Danio rerio: one gene and its partner. The protein of the gene in region 2 purifies or fractionates together with the protein of the main gene of each other region. This does not show direct contact. Links are inferred from orthologs where the notes say so. Each region holds a gene or a part of one and is shown on either strand. Other genes may lie near its edges.

What was found. Proteins that work in one complex are often made in the same cells at the same time.
Region 1: the proteins of usp36 (region 2) and dgcr8 purify together in Homo sapiens (affinity purification with western blotting; 3 studies listed by BioGRID, with this or other methods). This does not show direct contact. The link is inferred for Danio rerio from reciprocal best matches to the Homo sapiens genes USP36 and DGCR8.

Annotation. Positions count from the first base shown.
Region 1 is NC_133180.1:25,181,002-25,184,527, forward strand, and holds part of dgcr8 (microprocessor complex subunit DGCR8), read left to right. Parts: intron 1-1,171; coding exon 1,172-1,314; intron 1,315-1,429; coding exon 1,430-1,766; intron 1,767-1,988; coding exon 1,989-2,186; intron 2,187-2,270; coding exon 2,271-2,372; intron 2,373-3,011; coding exon 3,012-3,110; intron 3,111-3,215; coding exon 3,216-3,298; intron 3,299-3,383; coding exon 3,384-3,484; intron 3,485-3,526.
Region 2 is NC_133178.1:61,789,170-61,792,695, forward strand, and holds part of usp36 (ubiquitin carboxyl-terminal hydrolase 36), read right to left. Parts: intron 3,259-3,526; coding exon 3,073-3,258; intron 1,431-3,072; coding exon 1,315-1,430; intron 908-1,314; coding exon 776-907; intron 1-775. UniProt on the Homo sapiens protein: Deubiquitinase essential for the regulation of nucleolar structure and function. Required for cell and organism viability.

The DNA.
Region 1 (3,526 bases), on a different chromosome or scaffold from region 2:
ATTCCAGTTGTTTTTTTTTTTGTTTTTTTTTGGTATTTATCTTCAGGAAATCACTGAAGGCATATATTATTTTATCATAACGATCTAAAGTGACAATAAGATCGTAACTTTACTGTGCATTTATACAGTGGCCATATTCATCTATGTAAACACACCAAAACAACATTACCAATATAGCAGAAACTGTAAAAAGCTCAGTTTCAGCCACTAGACTTTTCTGACGGTATTAGAGTGTCAGAATGTTGTGGGACTGCTATTACAGATTATAGATCGTAAAATTTAGCTTTTTATTTATTTTTTTTATTTTTTTTATGAAAAAACTTTTTCATTTTCATGTTTCAGGGAAAACAGTTATGTATATATATATATTAAAACATGTGCTTATTGTAAAAATTTGTAATAATGACAAAAATACCATTTTGTGGATCTCCTTATTTTCGGGTTTAGCAATACTGCTGTTGTGGCTGGTGTATTCTGGGAAATTTTCTTAGCCCTTGGTTTCGTGTGTGGTCCTGAAAAATCTTTTTTCGAAGGGCTATTCACCCCTTCCCTTTAGACCACAGGTGTCAAACTCAGTTCCAAAAGGGCCGCAGCTCTGCACAGTTTAGTTCCAACCCTAATTAAACACACCTGATCAAACTAATTGAGTCCTACAGGCTTGTTTGAAACCTACAGGTAAGTGTGTTGGAGCAGGGTTGGAACTAAACTGTGCAGGGCTTCGGCCCTCCAGGAATTGAGTTTGAGACTCCTCTACGCCTTGACATGAACGTGCAAAATGAGGGGTAGGGGTGAGGGGAAGGGCTAAGGGGTAGAATTGGGATTGGGCCATAGTCTGAAGCAATGGCAAATATTGAAAATATATATATTTTATAATAATACAGTTTTTACGATAACCTTTTTTTTTGGCCGATTTAATACATGCATGCAGAATAAAATCAGCAATTTCTGAAAAACAATCTTTTAAAGCAGGTGGATGTCTTGAGTCAGACTCGAGAGGAGTATTTTTTTATTTGGTAGAAAATGCATTTTTAGAATTTTTATTTTTTATATCTACAACTTTTATTGCTTTTAGTTTGACAATAGCACAAAAACCGAAACCCTAAATTGGATTCTTGCTGGCTATACTTTTAGTAATTGTTAAATATAATTATTTTTTTATTTGATTTTTAAGGTCGTGGTCGACCGCCAACTGAGCCATTACCTGATGGGTGGATCATGACATTCCATAACTCCGGCATTCCAGTCTACCTCCACCGGGAAACCAGAGTTGTAACCTGGTCTAGACCTTACTTCCTTGGAACAGGAAGCATTAGGGTAAACATTTTGACTTGCCTAAGATATGACACTTACTGTAAATTGCAATTAAACAATTACAATGTTCAATTTATTTTTTCACGCTCCTCATCTCTATTCTCTTATTTTCCCCTAGAAACATGACCCACCAACCAGTAGCATTCCCTGCCTGCACTACAAGAAAATGAAGGAACAAGAAGAAAGGGAACAGAATGGAGAGGTGACTCCGACAGCGGAGATTTCTCCAGTCAAATCTGGGGAGGAGGGTATCTCACTGGAGCGAGCCGATGAGCCTGACTCCACTGCCACTGAAGAGCCCACCGGCAGACCAACATCAGAAGATCCGGATCTTGACCTCATGGAGCCAGGAGGGTCTTCTATAGAGGGGAAGGATGGCCAAACCGGGGATACTGCACAGGGAGCATTGGGCCAGGTCAAAGCCAAGGTGGAGGTCTGCAAAGATGAGTCTATTGGTAAGTGGACTTTATACTTATAATTTTTTTATATATACAATAATCAAAATTTGCAGAGGATTAAAGCCTTTTAAAGTTTTCATAAAATTATTTAACAGCCATTTTTGGTCTTGGGACAATTTTGAAAAGCTATTTTCCCCCCACTTCAGATGTTGATTACTGTATACATCACTGTGAAAATGTGCCTGGCATGTAAACCTCCTCTTGTGTTTTGTATCCCAGAAATTGAGGATTTTAGAAGCTACCTAGAGAAGTGCTTTGATTTTGAGCAAGTGACAGTGAAGAAGTTCCGCACATGGGCTGAGCGCAGACAGTTCAACAGGGACATGAAGAGGAAACAGGCTGAGTCTGAGAGGCCCATCCTACCAGCCAATCAGAAGCTCATCACGCTGTCTGTTCAAGATGCCCCCACAAAGAAAGGTGCCTATGAAATTAATACATTTATGAATCTTAAAACCAATAAAACATGCTGTTTTAACAACAATAACAATGTTTATATTACAGAGTTTGTCATCAACCCAAATGGGAAGTCAGAAGTGTGCATTTTACATGAGTATATGCAAAGAGTACTCAAAGTGCGACCAGTTTACAACTTTTTTGAATGTGGTAAGTAGCATAATGCTGAAGGATATTTGGATTTGAAAGAGAAGATTCTGATATTGACATTTTGGAAGGGATTAAAAAAAAAACTTTGGATTTAGTTTTTTCATGGATAAAATGACACTAGAACATCAATTAATCCCTGTCTAAATGAGTGATTCACTGAATTTTCTTTATTTTTCATTCTAAATGGTCTATCTATGAATTATTAAATTGGCTGAAATTATTGGATCAGAGACAGATTTATTCAGAAGTGTAATTGCAATGTTACTCTGCAATGCGCTAATATTTAGCCCCAGGCTTTTAAACTATTTTTGTTGGGGGAAAATACAATATTGTGTCTGTAGCTTGCCCTATAAAAAGTAAAGTGTAAAGTCCTGATTTTCTGGAAAACCACTACTCTGTGCCATTACATATGTTTTTTTTTATTAATTAATTTTTTTTTAAAGTGAGCAACAAACCCATAAATAATGCATATGCCATCCCTAGAGTTAATCTTTTAAGAAACCAAATTACTTGTGGGCCATGTCTGTATAAAATGTCTCTTAAATCTACTGTAATGCATGTGTTTTTTGTTTTATATATACAATGTTTTTGTATATACTGTACTTAAATGTAAAGTCTCCATATTTTTTTTTCCCTCAGAAAACCCAAGTGAACCCTTCGGAGCCTCAGTGATTATAGACGGTGTTACATACGGCACTGGAACAGCTAGTAGTAAAAAACTTGCCAAGAATAAAGCTGGTATCTTTTCCCCGTTTCTGTTTGAGTCCTGTAATCTCAGCAAGAAATCATTTTGCTTCAACATAACTGCAAGCAAATAATTTACTTTATTCTCTTTTGTTTAAGCTCGAGCAACACTGGAAATCCTCATTCCTGACTTTGTGAAGCAGACGTCTGAGGAGAAGCCCGTAGAGGGAGATGAACTGGAGGTGCTGCTCTTCTTTATATTTTATCTTTGAGTAGATTAATTTATTTCATGGTACTTATGGTGTGTGTTGTTTTCCATTTCCACAGTATTTTAATCATATCAGTATTGAAGATTCAAGGGTGTATGAGCTGACCAACAAAGCAGGTTTACTCTCACCATATCAGATCCTTCATGAGTGCCTTAAGAGGTGCGTTATCATTATGCATAATCAGTCATTTGATCACACTGA
Region 2 (3,526 bases):
TAAATAGATAAAAAAACAAAAAACAAATAAGAAAAAATGTAAATACAAATAAATAAATATGTACAAATAAAACAAACACATAAAAAACAAATATTATAATAATATAAGTGAAAAACAAAAACAAATTTATACATAATGAATAATAATAATATAAATAAACAAATAAAAATAAATATAAAAAATGAATAAAAAAATACTAAAACAAAAATGTTAATAAATATAAATAAATAAAAATAAACTAATACATATAAATAAAAAATATATAAATACAAATATATGAAAATAAACAAATAATAATAGTAATAAAAAACAATTCATAAATAAATTAAAAAAAAAAAAATATATATATATATATATATATATATATATATATATATATATATATATATATATAAATAAATATAAATGAATAAAAATAAATAAAATAAATACATTTAAAAACAATTACAAAAATAAGTAAAATAAAAATATTTTAAAAAAAACTTTTTTTCTTAAGGAGACTGAAACATTTGAATCAGGATCAGACATGTTTTTATAAATAAGATGAGACTGGGCATCTTTCAATAGTTTTAGGTCATTTTCATAAACCTCAAAGGTTGACTACTGTATATTCAAGTAATACAATTAATTCAAACAGTCTAAAGCATCAAACTTAAGTCTTAGAAATTACAACATGCATTTAAAACCAATAATAGTAGAAAAGTCTTGTAAACTGGCCAAAAAAATGTCTTTATAGTTTAAAGCGGGGGAAAATTAAGAGAATAAAGTGAGGCACCGTTGAGTGTCGATAGCCCAGACTGCACCGTCTGCCACCCGTCACAGACCACATGTTACGATGTTCCTGGATCTTCTGGAAGACGTTTCCGTTCCACCTCCTGTCCTTTTTGTATTTTTTAATTTTCTTCACCTATTCGAATGAGGCAAATAAAACAACTTGTTCTATACACTTCACATGTATATACTTAATAGAACACATATACATAAACTCTACTGTCATATATGTCATGTGCAGAGTTTGTTATTTGAAACAAGCACAAGTTCTTTGTATGAAACAAAGCACTTTACTTGCATGTAAAGTCATCTTTTATGTACATAAATTCACGTTTGCAAATGTCAATTTCCTGCAGAACCTAAAATGGGATGTTGCGTTTTTGATCCAAATACAACATTTCAGACAATGTGCTCTGTAATGAAACTATGACTAGCAATATGTCTGTAAACTGTCTGCAGTGGACTATTAGTCTGAGATCTGCTTTAAATGACTCTTCAGTATTAGGCACAGAACATATGAGAGGTCAGAGTTTTAATCCTCACCTTTCCGCTGTCGAACTCACTATCCCACTCATCAATGACAGTCAGGTTTTTAGCGTAGCGTGAATCCTGAACGGCATCTCTGCTGATGAGTGACGGATCGCCTTCCCAACTGAGAACTGATGGATGAAATGAATCAAAACAGTCAACAATTCAGCTCAGCGAACCAAATCAAGTATTCAGATGAGAACTTCAGGAGATCTTAAACAGGGTTCTTACACCGTTTCCAACTTCAAATTCCAGCACTTTCCAAGCACTTTAAAGGTGCATTTGTATGCTTTTTCAGCACCTAACAACCACGGTTAACCATGTTTATATATGTTGTATGCATTTAATCACATTTGAATCCATTGTGCTATTTTAAAAAACACAATATGACATTTCACCTTAAATTGTTGAATACTCTAGAGCATAGATTTATTGGGATAGTTCACCCAAAAATAATTAAAAAATAAATTAAAAAAGTTTAGTTTTTGGATGAAGTATATTTTTAAGTTTGAGCTCATTCTTGAGATATCAACTTTAGGTAGAAAGAGACCAAAGTCAGATTTTGTTTGGGTGTAGTCCCAAACTTTCATGACCAGTTGTTCATGATATTTCAAGTGCATTGCTATTTTTTTACAGTATTTATTAAATATATATATATATATATATATTGAATTGGCGTTTCAGATGCATTCAAGTTGCATTCTGGGTGAATTTCTCCTAAATACGTATGAAGCTAATAATGCCAAAACAGTTTAACAACTGAACAACTTAAAACTGTATTTTTTACATACCCAATATTTGCAGTCTTTGAATTCAGAACCAAAAAATCTAAAGTTTGAAAATATGTCTACAAAAATTTGACTTAAATTTCAGATGTTTAATAATCAAGTTAAGAGTTTCAAATTCGGTTAAACAATTTTTAATAGCATATAATCAGTTTTATTAGCTTACAGGTGTTAATAATTTGACAATTCAAATTCAGATTGTTTTGGCATATTATTGGCTCCATACATACATGCATGCGGTGAACGTTTTGCAATAAAAACTAGACGCATGAAAACTATTTATGCACTCGCACATATGCTCTCAAATATATTTAGAGGTCACAGATGAAATTGTGCGCATATGCAACCAAAAGTCACAATTTCGAGCCCAGCAATTTCAAATTCAAGCAGGTACAAACACTTTGTTCAAAATCCAAGCACTTTTCTAACCTTGAAAACACAATATTAAAAATCAAGCATTTTCCAGGATTTCCAGCACCCGTAAGAACCCTGTTAAAGGAGTTTTTGGAGATTTTTTTAATATTTTGGATATATATATATATTTTATATATTTTTTTATTTTTTGGATAGTTAAAAACAGTATTTGGGACATTTCATATGCTGCAAAACAGTTGCTGGATGACACTGAATGTCTGTAACAAAATATAAAACATTCAAAGTATTTTAAATAGCCACTTAAGAGCTAAAATGTGCTGTTTACGTACGTGACCACTAAGCCCTAGGAGGTTAAATGTTCTGAGGCAGTTTTGTGGAATAATTACCATCTGGATCTATGCGGCATTTCAGATACAGGTAGTTTAAAAATGCAGTACATGTAAGAGTGACATCCGGTGGTAGAATAAGGTATTGCACTTCAAATTCAAAACACTTTTTCACTGTGCCCCTCCTCTGAAATACAGGGTGCCAGATTAACGACAGCAACAGAATCGAGCCTGACTATCAGGAAAAGGACAAAAACAAATGAAAAACACATTGATTGAAAGCTCACCCTCAGTTCCATAGGCTTTATCAGAGGAGTTCTTGAGGAGCTCCTGAACCACATCACAGCTTTTCTTGCCGTCCCAGCAAACAGGAACAGCGCAGGACTTTTTGCCAGACATGTCCTCTGCTTCTTCATGATTCTGGCTGCTCTTGAATCCATCTTGAACCTGACTGTCCCAAACAATCACTGGAGCTGAAACAGAAAACCAGAGAAAGGACTCATTTGATGTCTTAAGAAACCTTAATATTTTGGGCTTTTTTTACTCAAAGGTGATATTTCAACAACGTCTTGCCATCAACAGTTGACTACTCTTAGTGTCAGGATGAGTCGTTCACTGAATTCAACTGATTTGGTCACAGCTGCTGATTAATTCAGAATAAAAAAAGTAACTGTCTTAATGAAAGAATAAAGACAACATTGTGGCAATACAGGAAACTTATATGCCATCAACTTGTCTCTT